Drosophila melanogaster: one gene and its partner. The protein of the gene in region 2 interacts with the protein of the main gene of each other region in a pairwise test. Each region holds a gene or a part of one and is shown on either strand. Other genes may lie near its edges.

Region 1 (5,761 bases), on a different chromosome or scaffold from region 2:
GATCAAGCAAATTGTAAGTCGCCATCTCCTCAATCGAGCTATGACAACTATTTTGCATCACTCCTGCTCCTCCAGCGAGTCCGAGCCGATTGTCTCTAAACACCTCTCTTTCGATTCCCGCAGTATTGGAAGGCACCGCGCATCCAGCGGGCCACCACACTCACCTCGTCCATGTCCCTGCCGGCGGAGTGCCTGGTTCTCTCCGTATCCATGCCCTCGCTCAACTCGGAGCCCAAGCGTCCCAAGAGCGCGGGACCCAAGAAGAAGCCCGGCCAGGCCGTCCACTCGAAGCCATTCCGCCTATATTGAGCCTGTCGAGGAAGGAGCTGCTCCACAAGTCGCACGTGACGTCACCCAATCGAAGCACTCAGAGATTTGTGCACAAGTTGATATCGAGGCACGCACTTCTAAAACATGCATATGCAGAATACATTTTATCAAACCGTTGATTGTTTAGAACCGAAATGGAAACGAAACTTGGCATTTACAACATAACAATAAACGACTAAATGAGAGGCAAAGTTAAGCACAAAATACAGCTGTGGTTTGTTTGTTTGTTTCTTTATATAATTACAGTATATATTTTCGTAAGTATTAAATCTGTTTCACGGCTACTACATCGCTGGAGCCAAACGGCCTTCGTTTACATTTCATTTACATAAGACTTGCGTTTGATTTTCTATATATAATTAGTACAAAAATTGTCCTGGGATTTCGTTACGTCTCATTGCGTCTTTATCATCGTGCTCATTGTGTGTTTGGAAAACTGTGTGCTTTTCTTGGTTTCTTTAGGTTTTGTATTCGTTTTTGATTCTTGTTCCTTTCGATTATTCGAGTCGCGTCACATTTAAATGCATTTAGTTGCCTTTTTCCATTTACATCATCCTTTTGCTCTACTTAAGCCATAAAAGTTGTTTATACAATTCGTTTTTAAAGTTAGGGTAATAAATAGGTCATTATAAAATAATAAACAACAGTTGTTACATTTTCAAAAGACATCGTCAAATGAGCTTCAAGTGATTATGATTATGATTCGAGGGTCGAGTTAGAATTAAAAAAATGCGCATGCTTGAATATCATAAAAAGTGGCTTCTCTAAGAGCTCGTCGTCAAGTGAATTGGCCTGGTTTCAGATTTGGTTAGCTGCGGATTGGCTGCCTTAGCTCATGGCTATATATAACTATAATACATTTAATGGGAAACTAGGAAATGCATAGATGCTCGTGATATGCGAAACCAATGTTTGCTGCGGTTGTTATAATTTTCTCTTTCTGCCAGATACTATTCGTACAATACATTCGATTCAATTGACTAGATTTCTACATATGTAGTGCATTAGATTTATGATTTATCTGTGGTACCGATTTTGTTAACAATGTTTTTTTTAGTTGTTGCGGGAGGGAATCGTGGTTTGCCAAATGTGTGACAGCAACGATCCGCAGAAAAAAACAGCCAAACAAAGAGAAATTTCATACGAATTTTGATGGCAGTACATTTCGATTCACAGAATTTCGTACAATATTTATCGTTTGTTTAGAGTTTCTTTCCGGGTTCGGTGCCTTTTACGAGAGTACGGAGAATTTTATAAATAAATACATGTAATTGATTTGTCGATGAGGGCGCTGCGTGAGTGTCAATTTGTTGTGGCCATTGTGCCGGTGTACGTGTCGCTTCCGAGGAATCTCTATACTTCGCCAAAGCCAATAACATTCTACCTTATTTACATTATTAAACACTTTCGCTGGCGTCGCTTTAGCGGCTCTGGTCTGAGCACCGCGCGCACCGCTTCCTCGAACACCTGAATTTGCAATCGGAGTGGGAAGGGAAATTTAATGATGAATAAGGGGTAGGTGGAGGGTGTGCCGGGCACCGATGACTTACCGGCTTGAGACCGCGCTGCGTCAAGGCGGAGCACTCCATGTATTTCACAGCGCGTATCTTGTTTGCCAGCTTCTGGCCCTGCTCGCGCTTCAGCGGCGTCAGTCCCTGCTCTGCCAGGCCGCTGAGTGTCTCTCGATCTTCGCGCAAATCGATTTTGGTGCCTGGAATACGCCCAAAGATATATGTATGATTCTCGTTTTCTGATTGCAGTTTTCATGTCGCTTGGCAACTTACCAACTAGAATGATGGGCGCATCGGGACAGTGGTGCTTTATCTCCGGATACCATTTCGAGGTGACGTTCTCAAAGGACGAGGGACTCGCCACGCTGTAGCATATCAGGAAAACGTCTGTCTGCGGGTAGGATAGCGGTCTCAGGCGGTCGTAGTCCTCCTGACCCGCCGTATCCCACAGTCCCAGCGAGACCTGTATTGTGTCCACTTGCATGGGCGCCGAGTAGTTGTCGAAGCTGTGAAAGATATCATAGTAAAAGTTAGATATCGATCTGCGGTTTGCGGCTATCGAGGCACAAACTTACACTGTGGGCACATATTCGCCGGGAAAGCAGTCTGTCGTGTAGGAGATTAGCATGCAGGTCTTTCCGACGGTGCCGTCACCAACGACTACACACTTTATGGGCCTTCCGGTTGACATCGTGAGTGTGCTGAGTGTGCCTGTGCCGATAGCTGTGTACTGTCTGTGTGCTGTGGGCAAAATAAGATGGAAGATGAATGTCTTCGCCAGCTTAATTCAATTAATTAAGTTCTATTCGAGGCAATAAACCCGCCAGTGCCAACTGACCGCAAATTATTTCACAGTCGTACTTCCTTAATAAAAATTCTTTAAAATAGAAACAAATGCTGTAGAAATACATATATGACACAATAAATTATCCTATTCGTTTTATTAGGTTTTTATAAATAAATTAACTACCACATCGTTTTTGGCGCGCAACTACATATATATAAGATAAACAATTGCTTAAATGGAATTTGGCAACTTTTAAAATTTGAATATCTAGACAAATTGAATCAGGATACTTGCTTCCTGAGTCGCAAACTATTTATATTGTATTAATGGAAGTTATACTTATTGGAGTATGCTACATCGTAAAGTGGGAATGTCCAAGCTGTGGAAGTACTACTGTACAGAGTATAATGGCGAAGGTCTACGGTATATCTCTGGGATGATCAAAGGCAGGGCTCTCGAAAGGTGTGTCCCGGCCGCAAAAAGAAAGCAACCGCAGCGGCGGAGGCCCATAAAGCCTAATAAAACGAACGAGGGTCTCATTTCGGTTGCGGTGGCACTTTGTTTTCGCAAATAAAATTTTCAAAAATAGATCATGATGGGCGACACAGACGGGGAAAAACAAAAAGCATAAATGGGAGCAGCGGACCAAATGGCGACCGCCCCTCCAGTGGCGCCCCTTCGGCGGTGGGCGGGGTCGCCCGAGTGTTGTGGTGACGCGGAAGCCACCGGCAGACGCACCGCATCGAGAAAAAGAAACACAAAATGGGAAAATGAACCGCCCGAAAATAGACACAATTAAGTTCTCATAACCGATTCAATTAAAGTTCAACACACAGAGGCGGCACATATTGCGCCACATGCAACGGGGCTGGGCGTGGCCGCGGGGGCGGGTGCGGTAGCAATGAAAATCTTTTGTTGTGGCACAACACCGAATGGGAATACAATATTATTTTACCGTTTTCACCACCACCTATCCTTTTCCTTTGTCTGTCGGCAGGCGGCGACTGTTTTGTACTTGGCTTATATCACTGTGCGTTTTCCGGCTACCGATATGCGTTCGAGGCGATGGTCCATGCGGCGCATTTAAATAATTGATTCGCACTATTTCGCAGCGGCTTTTACTTATAAATATCTGTTTGAGGGACAAAACGCAGCGTCCCCGAATAATTTTCGTGTTTTTCCTTTTTGTTTCCACTCCACACAAACACACACCCACCTTTTTGACAGCGCAGCGACGCTCTCTCTCTCGCCGTTGACAGTGGTGCCAACTTAGGGCCAGAAAATAGCTGACGGTAAATATAAAAAAATCACTTAAATGTATGGTACCAATAACTAAACTTAATAAGCATATCATCCAGTATAAAGTCGTTTTTCTTTTTCCAAAACTAAAATAAACTTTTTTTTACAATTGGCACTTAAAAATCAGCTAGACTTGGCGTGAAAAAAGAGAGCGGGTAGTCCAGCTCCGCTCTCTCGAAACTGACAAGCAGTGCTGCAAAAGGTGCAGGGCTCAGGCGGATTTGGCATTATACAATACTAATAGGCATGGTTGTGGGAGAGGGGTTGCAACCAATTTTCACATTGTAAACAAAATTATTTATTTAATTCTATTTCGAGCAGAATATTGTAATAATTACCTGTTAATTAAAAAATTATCATTTTAAAATTATCTTATGTAAGTTCAATACCCTTTAATTGCTATCGACTACGCCCATGCTGCCTATGTCCACTGTTGTTGTTTCGAGCGTCGTAATGAGCAGATTTGTTTATAAACTTTTACAGAGTGCAAACCAAACTAGTTCGGGCTGCAGACGCATTTCTTTGGCTACTGTAAGAAATGCGGAAAGCGAATCTCAAGAGGGTGCCCCTGCCCGCACAGTTCTGGTGGAGAAGGACTCGCACATAACACTTATTGGCCTAAATCGCGAGCAGCAGCGTAATTCCATTGATGCCAACACCGCGGAGCAGCTGACCGAAGCCATTAGCCAATTCGAAGCGGATGATACTTCTCCAGTGGGTGTGCTCTACGGCATAGGTGGCTCCTTTTGTGCAGGCTATGATCTGGAGGAGCTAGAGGCGGAGGCGCAACGCGGCAGCCTCAACTTTCTGTTGCGTCACGAGGGCTCCGTCGGACCAACTAGGCGGCATCTCCGCAAGCCACTTGTTTGCGGCATCAGCGGTTTCTGTGTGGCCGGTGGATTGGAACTGGCTCTAATGTGCGATCTCCGGGTGATGGAGGACACTGCAGTTCTGGGGTTCTTCAACCGTCGCCTTGGAGTTCCCCTGAGCGATGGTGGAACTGTGCGGCTGGCCGCTGCAGTGGGTTACTCCAATGCCTTGGAGATCATCGCAACTGGAAGACGCATCTACTCTGGGGAGGCGCGGCGAATCGGTTTAGTGAATCGCGTTGTGGCCACAGGCACAGCTTTAGGTCAAGCTGTTAATCTGGCCTTTTCCATTGCCAAGTTCCCCATGGCTTCCCTAATGCACGACAGGAATGCTGTGCTTGAAAATGCCAATGCCTACAACAAACCAGGATTCCATGTGGCCAGTTACAATGAGATCATGAATGTTACCTCAGATATGATAACAGATATGCAGGAGGGCGTGAAGCGTTTCAAGAACTGTGAGTAGTGTTCGTGTTCATTCCTAGAAACACTTTGTTACCTTCCTTTTTTATATTTTAGCTGAAATAAAGGGCCCCAAAACCGATTCGTGGAGCATAAAGGAGAAAACCATTCCAGATTGGGAAAAGGCCGAAATCGAGATCGAAAAACAAAAGCAAAAGACATGACATATGTAGTTAGCTGATATATACAAAACTTCTGTTCTTCTGGTTAGTTGCAATACTTTGTTGTTATATATAAAACGAAAGCCTTTATTCACGTAAAATACATTTATTTAATGATTTATGTAGTTGACCGCCTAAATCGCTTACGACTCGCGCTTATTTCAATATTCACAACAATTACAATAACGAATTTTCCTTGAAATTAAGCCTAACTACAAAAAAGAGTTGAGAGGAAAAGCACAAAGTTCGGTATTCCTTGCTGTCGATCGATTCAACATTCACAATTAGTTTACACTTATAAAAAATATGCTAGCGTCGAGTAATCGGACTTGTCCTCTTACT
Region 2 (3,623 bases):
GTTTAAAAATTAGTTATTTAAGCCCGTACTATTTTCAGTGGTAGTTAAATCTGAAGGCAGTCCTGCTGCCATGCTACCCATAGACAGGTGAATCAAGCTTTCAGCTGCCATCCAGCGAGGAGAATTCTGCGTGCGGCAAAAGTTTTCATGCATATTCAACATCATTAGAAAGTCAGGACAAAGTAGCTGAAGGCAGAAAGGCAAGAGCCTTCGTGGAAAGTAAAACAAACCCGTTTAGGGCGCTAAAATGTAGGCTATAAATTATGTCATAGGTATAGTCGACCTTTCTCCACGGAGCTTCCTTTCTTCCAGTCTGCCGTAAGTGGGCTTGAAAGGAGTGCATTTAGAAAGTTCTGAAAAGCGTCTTAATTGCAACGACGTTGGAAAATACCTGTAGAATTTAATTCTTCGCGCTGGAAGCGTATTAAATTCAGAAAAAATGTAATTACTTACTAAAAGGGAAATCCCTTATAAGCACCTATGGTATAGGAAAAAAATACACAAATTGAGAGAGTAAGGAAGCAATTTACTGAGTTGCATGTAGGTGTGAAAACAAATGGAAAATAAATATATAAATTTGCCATTCCGTGGGACCTACATGACCAGACAGCACTTTTTGGCCGGTCTGGCGGAGTGGCGATTCTGAAAGCCATTCCTTTTTTCCTCATCTAAAGGTTCCTCCACATCACCCACAGTTTCGCGAACTTCCATTGCCTGGCTAACTGATGTGCTTCCTAGCTTGGGATCATAGGACTCGGCTCCGATATTCATGGCCTGGACTTCGTCAAACTCCAGTTCGCCAACCTCCTCCTCGCCAGGATCCAGGCTGTAAACGAAACCCGGATGGCGCAGACCCTGCTGCTGCTGGATGCTGGCCTCACGCCAGATGGACTCGTAACGGGGCTCGTAGCATATGTCCTCCGAGGTTGCCGTACTCCACCGGGTGTACGTAGATACTGCATGGGTATTAAATTTATAAATCCATCAGGAAATTAAAAAGAAATAAATAAATGCACAATACTAAAAACCTATGCAAGTCAAAGCATAATATATATAAAGGGCTTCAAAATACAATATATATTGTTTTAAATAAACATTATTTCCTTTCCGTACTTACACTCATCAAATAGCTTTTTGGCCACCTGGCTGGCCTTGAAGTCGGGCACAAACACAGGTGCGTTGGGGTTTAGGCGTCGGTCCAGCGGTCGGCTAACGACGGGGGGCGTGTCGCCCGCGGCGGGCGGAGGGCAGCTGCCAGGAGTCGAATGGGCGTCACCCACTTCCCCTGCAAGTTCGCTGGTCGATGCGGTGGCGGTGTCCTTCAACATGGTCAGCAGAGCACTTAACACTTGAATAGTTTTTCAAATCTACATTTGAGTTCCGGCCGGACGATTTCAAGTAGCTTTTCTATTCTGCTTAAATGCTCAGTTGACAATTATGGCAGGGCAAACTACCTGATTATTTGATTTTCTTACCGGTATTCAGTGCCAAATATTAATGAATGACCAAAGACAGCCGCTTCCAAAATATTTTGCCAAAACTTTGGTATTGGCCGATTTTTGCTATGAGGGTGTTTATCTCTCAACGTTTGTCTTCACGAAGTAATTTGTGTTCCTACTATTTTTAATGCTTGGCCTTTGAAATTTAATTGGATAAGTAATGAAAAGTCAACTACGATTAAAGCTACACTATTATTTACATACACAATTTATGATTGCAGAACGTACAACTCAATTAAATAGAAAACTATTTCAAAAAAAGTAAGTTAACCATGCTCCTTTGTCCCGATTCCTTGTAATTTCTTTGAAATGTCAAAGGTTATTTACCTCCATTCAATTTCTGTTAGATTGTTATTTTGAGGATTTATGGGTTTATCCATCTTATTGGGGCTTAACCCGAAAACTGCTTCAAATCCATGCATGCCATAATTCGATTTCATAAATTTGATTCCACTTTCAACTGTCATGTTTGCTCCGCTTTTCTCGTTGCAAATAAAGTTTGACTTTTAATTAAATGGCCGAACTTACAATAATTTTAATAAGCCGTATAAATAAATTATAACAAATTTCACACAAAGTGAGATAAAATTGCCTAAAACTCATCCTGACATTCCATCTTGCTGGTGCGTGTGTGTCAAATTTAATTTTGTGAATACCGCAAATTGACAAATATTTTCGTTTGGCCAACAAGAAGAAGACCAAAAGCACCCAGCACTCTAATTCAATCTGGCTGGTGTATTTTAATTGATTTGCGCTAAAATTTATTGATTTCATTTTGTCAACAGTTGTTGCCAGATGAACCGCAAAGAACGCCTGAAAACCTCAGACCCATTCACCCATTCAGCCATTTGCCCAACTTGAGCTCATTATGGCAGCTTCAGCCCCCTTGGAACCCAATATTTGCATTCATTTTGTGTGTGTGCTAATTTGCATGTGCGAGTGTGTTAAAACATAAATTAGTTGACTCTGCCGACACACCCACACAATCGAATAAAATAAAGAGAAAGGGGTTAGAGAAAGTTTCAACCGAGAACCGAGAATTTATTGCCAATTCATTGCATTCGCGCTGCTGTATCGAGCGATTTCGCTAACCGAACAAATAGCGGTTTTAACTGTTTTTAGTTAATTGCGCAAATTACTTGCGCTAATTTATTGGCCATTTTGTGGAATAGACAAGGTTTTTCAGCTTATAGGTTTAGTCCGACTAATTTGTTAGTTTCTGAAGGGATGTTTTTTTTTTTTTTGACTTCTTATTCTATACATTTTGTGTAAAAAAATACCATGTAGTTCTTCCTGTTTCAATAACACTATTAAGCCATTTGACAATTATCTTCGACAGTCATAAATCCGTTAAATTAAATAAAAGGCCAAAGTTTATTTAGCTACTCAATCAGGGACACAAACAACACTCAAATTGTTGGACAGTTTCAGATTCAAATGGCAAGCGGTGGTCGAAGGGCAAAGTAAATAGATGAAACGAAGTCTTCGCACTTTTGTAAAGTTGCTGCTCAGTGTTGGCGTATTTCCCTTGAAGGAGTAACGTATCATATCTTTTATTCAGCTTTGAATGAAGAAGTCATGTCAGAATATGCCTCAGATATAAACCGTTAATATAAAAACGAATAATATTAAATTGTATTATATTACATTATATTATTTGTGAAGGGAAAGTAGCCAAGATGACAGCTCTGGTCGCTCAGCAGTCAGTCAGTCACCCACTTGGTCAGTCACATGGGCTGCACATTCAAGTGTCACTGATTTGAGGATAAGCACTTCACAGGCAACTTGATAGCCCCCCAATCCGGACCCCCTCCATATATATATGTATATACATATATCTTTGTGTATGTATGTATGCTGTAGTGGCATTGGAGCGGTTGTGCCGTGTTCCGACGGGTTGCTTGGTTGCCTGGCCAGTCAGCCGTGGTCGGGAAATATCACAGCAGTACTCTCTCTCATTCGAGGGCCACTCGTGCAAAGCGAACTAATTTGAATGTATAAAATCAGCAGCACTGCCGGGAAGCCCCACAGGGACAGACATACATATCCGCAATAATATATATAAAGGGACAGCAGATAGACAAACTGACTGACTAACTGACTGGTCGAATGACTGGCCATGGA

Evidence for each region. The genes of interacting proteins can lie anywhere in the genome.
Region 1: the proteins of CG15136 (region 2) and Mtl interact in a two-hybrid assay, tested with the Drosophila melanogaster proteins (one large-scale study listed by BioGRID).

What each region holds. Positions count from the first base shown.
Region 1 is NT_033777.3:27,634,659-27,640,419, reverse strand, and holds Mtl (Mig-2-like), read right to left. Parts: upstream 3,872-5,761; 5' UTR 3,584-3,871; intron 3,560-3,583; exon of another isoform or gene 3,367-3,559; intron 2,583-3,366; 5' UTR 2,533-2,582; coding exon 2,417-2,532; intron 2,348-2,416; coding exon 2,115-2,347; intron 2,042-2,114; coding exon 1,881-2,041; intron 1,798-1,880; coding exon 1,720-1,797; 3' UTR 549-1,719; downstream 1-548. Other genes in the region: CG5611 (uncharacterized protein), read left to right, coding at 4,381-5,254, 5,316-5,422.
Region 2 is NT_033779.5:17,046,654-17,050,276, forward strand, and holds CG15136 (uncharacterized protein), read right to left. Parts: upstream 1,629-3,623; 5' UTR 1,476-1,628; intron 1,416-1,475; exon of another isoform or gene 1,413-1,415; 5' UTR 1,329-1,412; coding exon 1,118-1,328; intron 957-1,117; coding exon 595-956; 3' UTR 508-594; downstream 1-507.